Arabidopsis thaliana: one gene and its partners. The protein of the gene in region 3 interacts with the protein of the main gene of each other region in a pairwise test. Each region holds a gene or a part of one and is shown on either strand. Other genes may lie near its edges. The genes, in order: ROF1, HSFA2 and HSP90.1.

The links.
Region 1: the proteins of HSP90.1 (region 3) and ROF1 interact in binary tests that used the Arabidopsis thaliana proteins (3 or more experiments, as listed by UniProt).
Region 2: the proteins of HSP90.1 (region 3) and HSFA2 interact in a protein complementation assay, tested with the Arabidopsis thaliana proteins (one study listed by BioGRID).

The regions. Positions count from the first base shown.
Region 1 is NC_003074.8:9,186,121-9,189,873, forward strand, and holds the start of ROF1 (rotamase FKBP 1), read left to right. Parts: upstream 1-2,060; 5' UTR 2,061-2,136; coding exon 2,137-2,320; intron 2,321-2,404; coding exon 2,405-2,491; intron 2,492-2,673; coding exon 2,674-2,934; intron 2,935-3,022; coding exon 3,023-3,097; intron 3,098-3,189; coding exon 3,190-3,270; intron 3,271-3,359; coding exon 3,360-3,554; intron 3,555-3,638; coding exon 3,639-3,731; intron 3,732-3,753. UniProt on the Arabidopsis thaliana protein: PPIases accelerate the folding of proteins. It catalyzes the cis-trans isomerization of proline imidic peptide bonds in oligopeptides.
Region 2 is NC_003071.7:11,133,894-11,137,646, forward strand, and holds the start of HSFA2 (heat shock transcription factor A2), read left to right. Parts: upstream 1-1,730; 5' UTR 1,731-1,962; coding exon 1,963-2,271; intron 2,272-2,352; coding exon of another isoform or gene 2,353-2,383; intron 2,384-2,595; coding exon 2,596-3,324; 3' UTR 3,325-3,753. Other genes in the region: ftsh4 (FTSH protease 4), read right to left, coding at 1-199, 338-610, 692-779, 1,207-1,233. UniProt on the Arabidopsis thaliana protein: Transcriptional activator that specifically binds DNA sequence 5'-AGAAnnTTCT-3' known as heat shock promoter elements (HSE). Seems to be involved in other environmental stress responses.
Region 3 is NC_003076.8:21,350,717-21,354,469, forward strand, and holds the start of HSP90.1 (heat shock-like protein), read left to right. Parts: upstream 1-1,840; coding exon 1,841-1,963; intron 1,964-2,278; coding exon 2,279-2,420; intron 2,421-2,505; coding exon 2,506-2,786; intron 2,787-2,874; coding exon 2,875-3,753. Other genes in the region: MEF1 (mitochondrial RNAediting factor 1), read left to right, coding at 1-1,425. UniProt on the Arabidopsis thaliana protein: Functions as a holding molecular chaperone (holdase) which stabilizes unfolding protein intermediates and rapidly releases them in an active form once stress has abated.

The DNA of each region.
Region 1 (3,753 bases), on a different chromosome or scaffold from region 3:
CACTTATGTGCTCTTATGTTCCAACTTCCAAGTCTAGTGCAATTTAATTAGTCGACCATCTACTTCTTGCATATTTTTGCTCGTTTTTTTTTCCTACCTAACCATCTAGTTCAAACATTATCTTTTGCTAAAGTTGGGAAGTGTGGTGGAAATGTCTTCTCCTTTTTTTTCTTGTAATGAGTCTTGTACGGTGGTGGTTATATCGATCTACGTCGGTTGTGTTCCCCTCGGTGATCTCGACCTCAGCGTAGGTGGCGATCAATGTTGGAAATGAAAATTCCTCCTCTGGATTATCAGTCTATCTTTTATTGGTATATTGCCATATATGTCTTCATATGGTATTCTGCTATCTTTCAATGAACATCACAAAAATAGTGATGCTTAATGTCTTCATATGATTCCCCTAAAGTTAGTGCTTTTGTGTTTTGTGTGACATATGGGATTGTCATATATATTTCGAATCTTTTTCGTTTGTTACACAATTAATTGCCTTAAAAAATTCAAACTATTAATTAAAAAGAAAAATCAGATAATTAAAATTCAGTGGCAACTATTGTAAATAAGTACCAACTCCAAGATTTATTTCACAAAATGGCTGCAAAATGTATATGTAGATATTTAGCTTAAGGAGGAGTCTAAATTTAACTTTAGAATTTTTTTAGAATATAATGTATATTAGAGTAAAAACATTTAGAATATACATATAAGGATTAAATTATATTGTGTATTATTTTTTACTGCATAAAATTGATTTGTAATTTTGAGAAATATAAGATAAATTTGCAAAAATTAACGAATTGGAAGATTGTTTTGCAAAAAATCCAAATATTTTGATATAAATTATTTGATCTATTGTTACCATATATTTTTGAACCATTTAATCCGTATTTTTCCTTGAAATGTGTTTGATATGGTTTATTTTGCATAAACAACTTGATTTGTGAATTTCATTTTCCTATTTGAAATCTCTTTACTATATAACTAGCCTTGTTGGGCGCGATCCACATATGTATTATATGATACTTTTGCTCATTAGTTAAAAAAAACAAAATGAATAGTTATTAGTCAAAACCCAATGTAGAGATATTGCCGACGTAGTCAACACATATGAATATGATATGATCCTGCAAAAAATTTTAACGACGTTAGAACCTAAAGAACATATGTGTTCTGGAACCACCTTTCTGTCACTTAACTCTGTCATCACCTTTCGAATAAATGATTTAAGGAGTTCTCTAGAAGACTAGAATCTTCCGTAACCTAAAACTCAACCTCATGTAGAAAGACTCACAAATCCAATTCCTCTATTCTCCTGCGAAAAACGGTTTCTTTATATCTCTCACGATTTGATTTCCTCTTCGCTTTTTTTAATTGAATTGAGATTGATGGATGATAATTTTAATTTCAAGATTTTTTTGTTAATCTTGTAATGGAAAATATTAAAAATAATTGCTTCAATATTGCAAAGCTTTGATATTTTAGAAAACAATTTTATTTAATAAAAGTGATATATATATATATATATATGTTATAGTATATTAAAAGTAAATTAGATTTAAAAGAAAGTGAGTGTATAAGAGACAAAACACGAAAAAAAAAATATGATTGAGGATGACAAATGGATTATAATTTCATATATATACATAATGAATTCAAGCTTGTAACTTATGAAAATTTAGGGGGATAATTAATACTCAATTCTAGATTTATTTATTTGCAACGTATCCATCTATACCTAGAGAATTTTTAATAATTTGTAAGCAAAAAATCTTGAAAGACCACAAATGGATTTGAATTTGTTCTGGATTTGTACTGTGATAATCCATTTTGCTTTGCTTGATTAGTTTTTACTTTTTACCATTGGTAATAATTTGGGATCATGTTTAGTTGTTTACTAGATAACCAATTTTGTTGGGCCTGATCCAACAATTTTGCCGATTATAAAGTAAATAAGTGAATAGTTAAGCCCAATATAAATTTACGAGTGACGGATCATCTGTGTTCTCGAACCATCTTTTTAACGAACTCTCTAGAACCCTTTTTCTTTTTCACCCAAAACCCAACCTCGTATAAATCTCACCAATCCATTTCTTCTCTTCTTCTTTGCGTTTTTTGTTTGGAACTGAATCGAAAAAGATGGATGCTAATTTCGAGATGCCTCCAGTCGGTGGAATGAACGACGACGACGACATGGATTTCGGTGACGGCGCCTCGTTTCTTAAAGTCGGTGAAGAGAAAGAGATCCAACAAGGTTTGAAGAAGAAGCTTCTTAAAGAAGGTGAAGGATATGAAACTCCTGAGAATGGCGATGAAGTTGAAGGTAATTAATTAATCGATTCAGATACTAATGCTTTTCGATTTAGGTTTTTTTGAATCGAAGCTTGAGCTTGATTTGTTTCTGCAGTGCATTACACTGGAACTTTGCTTGATGGGACGAAGTTTGATTCGAGTCGTGATAGAGCAACGCCTTTCAAATTCACTCTTGGACAAGGTTTGTGATTCTCATCTCCTAAAGACCTAATAGTTTCCGTATAGTTAGTAATCTGGAGAATTCGGTAGACTAATTTGATAGATATGAACTTGAATTGAGATATAGTTGTTGTTAAGTTCAAAATCGAATTTTTGTTGATGAATGTGTAATGGTTTGTGGTTGTTGGCATTGTGTTTTTGCAGGTCAAGTTATTAAAGGATGGGATATTGGTATTAAGACGATGAAGAAAGGTGAAAACGCTGTTTTCACTATACCTGCGGAGCTAGCATATGGGGAATCTGGTTCCCCGCCAACTATTCCTGCGAATGCTACGCTTCAGTTTGATGTGGAGTTGCTTAAATGGGACAGTGTGAAGGATATATGTAAAGATGGTGGTGTGTTTAAGAAGATTCTTGCTGTTGGAGAGAAGTGGGAGAATCCAAAGGACCTTGATGAAGTTCTTGGTGTGTGTTCACTCTCTTATGGCCTGCTTTAGAGGTTGGTGTGTGTTTGATTTTGCTAACGGTGTTTCCTGTGTATTTGTTAATTCAGTTAAGTTTGAGGCGAAACTTGAGGATGGTACTGTTGTTGGGAAATCTGATGGTGTGGAGTTCACTGTTAAAGATGGTTAGTGCTCTGAATTCTTTTAAGATATGATGGGATATGTTGGATAATGTATTCGCTCTTTGACATTCTTTGTGATCTATGATCATTAATAGGTCATTTCTGCCCTGCACTTACTAAGGCTGTGAAAACTATGAAAAAGGGTGAAAAGGTCCTTCTGACAGTTAAACCACAATGTAAGACGATTTGTCTCAATTGTTTTTTCACTGATCCTGGTATGGTGTGTATATCATCTCTTATTCCAATGTGCTTCTGAATGAGACAGATGGTTTTGGGGAGAAGGGCAAGCCAGCCTCTGCTGGTGAAGGCGCGGTTCCTCCTAATGCGACGCTCGAGATCAATTTGGAGTTAGTTTCGTGGAAAACAGTGTCAGAAGTAACTGATGATAACAAGGTTGTGAAGAAAGTCTTGAAGGAAGGGGATGGATATGAGCGTCCTAACGAGGGGGCAGTTGTGAAAGGTTTGCATTTCGGATTTTAGTACACTCATGTCTTCACCAGATATAACGGTTTCTTACGGGGTTTCATTTGTTTCTTTCTGGCAGTGAAATTGATAGGGAAACTTCAAGATGGTACTGTATTTTTGAAGAAAGGTCATGGTGAGAATGAGGAACCGTTTGAGTTCAAAACAGATGAAGGTAACTACACAGTTCCTAGTAT
Region 2 (3,753 bases), on a different chromosome or scaffold from region 3:
CCAGAAATGAGTAAAAAACCAACTCCAATAGTTCGGATTGTACTCCATAGCTGTTCTTTAAAGTGAGTCCTTTCTGTGGATATCGTATGGATCGGTGCACTAGCAGTTCCAAGGACACCATCTTTTGTTGGTTTTCCTACGTTTCTAAATGCCCCAAGACCTCCAAAAGTCTCTTCCTCCCTTGCAACACCAGCAATACCTAAAAGAAAAACAGCAAAACATTTCCCAATATTATATAGAGAAATGGCTCAGAAGCTGCTAATACAAATATGAAAGCAAGGACACAATCCAAGTATCCATTCAGATTCAAACAAACAGTCTCTCCCTCCTTACCCACCTCTTTGCAATGTTCGAACCAGCTCACTTTGATCGAGCCTATCAACTTTAACCAATGCCTTAATGTATTCCGATAACGCAGAGGCATTCGCATGCAAAGAAGGTTGGCTTTCAAACATTCTGATAACAGCCTCAGGATCATTTCTTCGAATAAGTTCTCTCAGATGTGCAACCTCATTAACTTCTTCTCTATCACGGACTCTGCGAGCAAAGCTACCAACATAACTCGATTGAAACCTCGTTCGCGGTAAAGAAGCTCCACCACCACCCACAGCTATAGATAAAATAAAACCAATTTACATCAAAAACACTTCTAAAACAACAAGAACAACTCATAAACGGAATCAGAATTTACCTCCAGTAACTCCCACTCTAGGAAAAGAGGAGTAAGCTCTAACAAGTAAGCTTCTTAAACTGCTCAATTCCCTTTCATGACTCGAAACCTGTCATCGGTGAAGAGAATCAATACAGATGAAGTTAATTACTAATCCCAAACTCAAAATGACACTAGACAACACATGAAAACATTTTGATAAAAGTGAATACTTTTACCCATTTTGAATCAAAAAAATTGAAACTTTTTATACCAATTTCAAAATTAGGTGACTTGGGTAGTCAAATAAATCAAATGACAATATCACAGAGACAATCTAGAATCCTAAAAGACAACATTTTGAGGGCAGAGAAGAATTTGAGCTTCTAGGGTTTGAAAAATATCATCTTTAGCTTATGAATCACAAAGATCTTGATAAAACCCATCAGAAATTATTATCTAATTAGATCAAATCCACTACAGTATCAAACCAAAGTCGAAACCTTTTTCGTATTAAAAATTGGATAAAGGGGAAAAGAGAAAAATGAAACAAAAACCTTGGTGATGATGCGCCTCCAAGCCATCAATCAAATCTCTCCTTCACGATATCTTAAAAATTGGTGTTAATGTCTGATAAATCGAAGTTCCTCGATCTATATCGGAAACAAAAGACTTCTTCGTTGTGTTTGGGGAAGAACCGTTCTAATCTTATTCCCTAAAGTCTTAAAAACACTAAATTACACGTGAGAGACCTGTTTGGTTATCGGGTGAGAGAAAAATTGTGCAGCAGGTGGAGACACGCACGAGATATGTAGGTCGCCTCTTAAGTACATAAATACCCTTGGACATACCCAATAATTCATTTTAGTAGGCTTTTTCTGGCGGCCCACATTAAAAAGAAGGACCTAGAACATAAATTGGCATCGTTAGAAATGGGCTTAAGTAAAGGCCCATATGATATATATATAAAAAAAGAGATTCTAGATTAGTAACGAAGTTTCTGGAACATTGTCTTGTCTTGTCGCCACGTGCTCACATAAATGTCAAAGAAGCTTCAATACAGTGAAATGATCTTGTCTTGTCTCTAGAACCTTCTCTTCTCTCCCCTTATAATTTCATTTCTCTCTCCTCCACGCCTCAATCTCTCAACTCAAAACTCAACATTTTCTGAAGAAAGTCGCAAACTTTACCCAAAACCCAGTTTCTAATTTTAGCAACAAAATCAAAAATATCTACTTTTGTTTCTCGAAAGTTACGAAATTCATACAATCTAGCTTATCTCTGAGCTTATGGATTTGAGATAAACAACGAAAATGGAAGAACTGAAAGTGGAAATGGAGGAAGAAACGGTGACGTTTACTGGTTCTGTAGCGGCTTCTTCATCTGTAGGATCCTCTTCCTCTCCTAGACCAATGGAAGGGCTTAACGAAACAGGGCCACCACCGTTTCTGACTAAGACTTACGAAATGGTGGAAGATCCGGCGACGGACACGGTGGTTTCTTGGAGTAATGGTCGTAACAGCTTTGTGGTGTGGGATTCTCATAAGTTCTCAACAACTCTCCTTCCACGTTACTTCAAGCATAGCAATTTCTCAAGTTTTATTCGTCAGCTCAATACTTATGTAAGTACCTCTTTGCTTCCTTATATCTACTTAGTCTTGTTTCTGTTTTTGTTTCTAATTTTTAATTTTGGATTTCTTTAGATGGGTTTCCTATGAGTCTTCAGCTATAAAGGTTAGTTCTTTAAGCTTTTAAGTGGCTAAATTGAAATTAGATGCATTGAGATTTTGGTCATATGTTAAGAGAATCATTTAACATAAACTCTGTTCAATCCTCTGTTTCTGAAGTTCAAAATGTGTTTGGTAGTAAAAACAGAATCTTGGAATGATAAGTAAGGACTCTGCCTCAAGTTCAGTAGCTGATGAAACTTGTTTTGGTGATTGCAGGGATTCAGAAAGATTGATCCAGATAGATGGGAATTTGCAAATGAAGGGTTTTTAGCAGGACAAAAGCATCTCTTGAAGAACATCAAAAGAAGGAGGAACATGGGTTTGCAGAATGTGAATCAGCAAGGATCTGGGATGTCATGTGTTGAGGTTGGGCAATACGGTTTCGACGGGGAGGTTGAGAGGTTGAAGAGGGATCATGGTGTGCTTGTAGCTGAGGTAGTTAGGTTGAGGCAACAGCAACACAGCTCCAAGAGTCAAGTTGCAGCTATGGAGCAACGGTTGCTTGTTACTGAGAAGAGACAGCAGCAGATGATGACGTTCCTTGCCAAGGCGTTGAACAATCCGAACTTTGTTCAGCAGTTTGCGGTTATGAGTAAAGAGAAGAAGAGTTTGTTTGGTTTGGATGTGGGGAGGAAACGGAGGCTTACTTCTACTCCAAGCTTGGGGACTATGGAGGAGAATTTGTTACATGATCAAGAGTTTGATAGAATGAAGGATGATATGGAAATGTTGTTCGCTGCAGCAATCGATGATGAGGCGAATAATTCGATGCCTACTAAGGAGGAACAATGTTTGGAGGCTATGAATGTGATGATGAGAGATGGTAATTTGGAAGCAGCGTTGGATGTGAAAGTGGAAGATTTGGTTGGTTCGCCTTTGGATTGGGACAGCCAAGATCTACATGACATGGTTGATCAAATGGGTTTTCTTGGTTCGGAACCTTAACTATACGGTATTAACACATCTACTTGTTGCGGTCTAAGTTATGGTAATGCTACCACTTTTATTTACTAGTTGAATTGTTTGTTTGTTTGTTTTGACTCAAGGAAGAGTCATTGAGTGTGGTTTGTTGTACATTTGTGTTTTCTTGTTCTGATGAATAAAAAACTCTGATTTCGTTTGACAATTTTAATGGTTGTTTGTTTTTCCTTCTCCAGACCTTAGAAGCATGAGATGGAGCTGCGATAAGAGTATCAAGCTCCGTGTCTACTTATCTTAGTACTCACTTTGGTCAACATTTAGGAGTTTATGTAATTAGTAACTTTTGCTAAGCTTTCTTAGAGAAAAGAGGTCATGATACTAAGAAAGTATTTCTTTGAATGTAACACTTTTAATTTTGAAGTTCATAAAATTTACAAACTTGTTGATCTAGTT
Region 3 (3,753 bases):
GATGATCATGTTCTTCCATCAGCTACAAAGTCGTGTGCGATTTTGAGTCGTTGTGATATTGGTAGATCAGTTCATTGTCTATCGATGAAGACTGGGTATGATGCTGATGTGTTTGTGGGGAGTTCTTTGGTTGATATGTATGCGAAATGTGGAGAAATTGTTTATGCGAGGAAGATGTTCGACGAAATGCCTCAGAGAAATGTTGTTACTTGGAGTGGGATGATGTATGGGTATGCACAAATGGGTGAAAATGAGGAAGCTTTGTGGTTGTTTAAAGAAGCTTTGTTTGAGAATCTCGCTGTTAATGATTACTCGTTTTCGAGTGTTATTAGTGTTTGTGCAAATTCGACTCTACTTGAGTTAGGTAGACAGATTCATGGATTGAGTATTAAGTCTAGCTTTGATTCTTCTAGCTTTGTGGGAAGTTCTTTAGTCTCGTTGTATTCAAAGTGTGGTGTTCCTGAAGGAGCTTATCAAGTTTTTAACGAGGTGCCTGTGAAGAATCTCGGGATTTGGAACGCTATGCTCAAGGCGTATGCGCAACATTCACATACTCAAAAGGTTATTGAATTGTTCAAAAGGATGAAGCTTTCTGGAATGAAACCAAATTTCATAACTTTTTTGAATGTGCTCAATGCTTGTAGTCACGCGGGTCTAGTTGATGAAGGGAGATACTACTTTGATCAGATGAAAGAATCGAGGATTGAGCCGACGGATAAGCATTACGCTTCCTTGGTGGATATGTTAGGACGAGCTGGTAGATTACAAGAAGCACTTGAAGTTATCACTAATATGCCGATTGATCCCACGGAATCTGTATGGGGAGCTTTATTAACGAGTTGTACAGTCCACAAGAACACAGAGCTTGCAGCATTTGCAGCAGACAAGGTCTTCGAATTAGGACCAGTGAGTTCCGGTATGCACATTTCGTTATCCAATGCTTATGCAGCCGATGGTAGATTCGAAGACGCAGCTAAAGCTAGAAAATTGCTTCGAGACCGAGGGGAAAAGAAGGAAACAGGGCTAAGTTGGGTTGAAGAAAGGAACAAGGTTCATACATTTGCAGCTGGAGAAAGACGTCATGAGAAAAGCAAGGAGATATATGAGAAGCTGGCTGAGTTAGGGGAAGAGATGGAGAAAGCGGGTTACATTGCAGACACAAGCTATGTTCTGAGAGAAGTGGATGGTGACGAGAAGAATCAAACCATAAGGTATCATAGTGAGAGATTAGCTATTGCTTTTGGACTGATCACGTTTCCAGCTGATAGACCGATCCGAGTAATGAAGAATCTGCGTGTTTGCGGTGATTGCCATAACGCGATCAAGTTCATGTCCGTATGTACGAGACGAGTGATCATTGTGAGAGATAATAATCGGTTTCATCGGTTTGAAGATGGCAAGTGTTCTTGTAATGACTATTGGTGAAGAAGACAAATGAGAGTTGGTTTATATTTAACCATAATTTCATTCAGTTCACACTGAACCGGCGAAATTTCTTTGCCAGACCTATTCGGAATTGAAACAAGTGGAGTCTCGAAACGAAAAGAACTTTCTGGAATTCGTTTGCTCACAAAGCTAAAAACGGTTGATTTCATCGAAATACGGCGTCGTTTTCAAAGAACAATCCAGAAATCACTGGTTTTCCTTTATTTCAAAAGAAGAGACTAGAACTTTATTTCTCCTCTATAAAATCACTTTGTTTTTTCCTCTCTTCTTCATAAATCAACAAAACAATCACAAATCTCTCGAAACGCTCTCGAAGTTCCAAATTTTCTCTTAGCATTCTCTTTCGTTTCTCGTTTGCGTTGAATCAAAGTTCGTTGCGATGGCGGATGTTCAGATGGCTGATGCAGAGACTTTTGCTTTCCAAGCTGAGATTAACCAGCTTCTTAGCTTGATCATCAACACGTTCTACAGCAACAAAGAAATCTTCCTCCGTGAGCTCATCAGTAACTCTTCTGATGTAAGTTTCCCTTCAAATCTCTCTCTGCTCGGTGTGACTCGTCCGCTTCCTATTTTCTTGCATGTTGTTTGTTCTTTAATTCCTGGATTCGTTGATAGCGTTGGATTCGTAGGTTTAGCGTTGTGATTGCTTATTCAAATAAATCGTGATTTGGCTTGTGCATCACGTTAAGTTTAGAATTCTTAGCTTGTGCTCGATCTTCATGTGTTGTAGTTACATATATAGAACGGTTCTTGCTTCGATGTAGTCTTTGATTTACCCTAGAGGATTGAGGAAAGCTTCTGATTATCTTTGTTTATATGAATGGTTTTGTAGGCTCTTGACAAGATCCGATTTGAGAGCTTAACGGATAAGAGCAAGCTCGATGGACAGCCTGAACTCTTCATTAGATTGGTTCCTGACAAGTCTAATAAGACGCTCTCAATTATTGACAGTGGTATTGGCATGACCAAAGCAGGTAACGAATCAATGCCTAATAATCTCTCGTTGGTGAGATGTTTTAGTGTATGTGCTGTGGTTATGACTCTCTATTATTTTTTCAGATTTGGTGAACAACTTGGGAACCATTGCGAGGTCTGGAACAAAAGAGTTTATGGAGGCGCTTCAAGCTGGAGCTGATGTAAGCATGATAGGACAATTTGGTGTTGGTTTCTACTCTGCTTATCTTGTTGCAGAGAAGGTTGTTGTCACTACAAAGCACAATGATGATGAACAATACGTTTGGGAGTCTCAAGCTGGTGGTTCCTTCACTGTCACTAGGGATGTGGATGGGGAACCACTTGGTAGAGGAACTAAGATCACCCTCTTCCTTAAGGACGATCAGGTAAGGAATCGTAGCTTTGAGTGTTTTGGGGATTGTTTCTTTTCTTTTGGTGTTTTCTGTGTTCTTACAAGTGTGTTTATTCATGCAGCTTGAATACTTGGAGGAGAGGAGACTCAAAGACTTGGTGAAGAAGCACTCTGAGTTCATCAGTTACCCTATCTACCTTTGGACCGAGAAAACCACCGAGAAGGAGATCAGTGACGATGAGGATGAAGATGAACCAAAGAAAGAAAACGAAGGTGAGGTTGAAGAAGTTGATGAGGAGAAGGAGAAAGATGGTAAAAAGAAGAAGAAAATCAAGGAAGTCTCTCACGAGTGGGAACTCATCAACAAGCAGAAACCGATCTGGTTGAGGAAGCCAGAAGAGATCACTAAGGAAGAGTATGCTGCTTTCTACAAGAGCTTGACCAATGACTGGGAAGATCACTTAGCCGTGAAACACTTCTCAGTGGAGGGTCAGCTAGAATTCAAGGCCATTCTCTTTGTACCAAAGAGAGCTCCGTTTGATCTCTTTGACACGAGGAAGAAGTTGAACAACATCAAGCTTTATGTCAGGAGGGTGTTCATTATGGACAACTGTGAAGAGCTAATCCCAGAGTACCTCAGCTTTGTGAAAGGTGTTGTTGACTCTGATGACTTGCCACTCAACATCTCTCGTGAGACGCTTCAACAGAACAAGATCCTTAAGGTGATCAGGAAGAATCTAGTGAAGAAGTGCATTGAGATGTTCAACGAGATTGCTGAGAACAAAGAGGACTACACCAAATTCTATGAGGCTTTCTCCAAGAATCTCAAATTGGGTATCCATGAAGACAGTCAGAACAGGGGAAAGATTGCTGATCTTCTACGGTACCACTCCACAAAGAGTGGTGATGAAATGACGAGCTTCAAAGATTACGTCACAAGGATGAAGGAAGGTCAAAAGGACATTTTCTACATCACTGGTGAAAGCAAAAAGGCGGTGGAG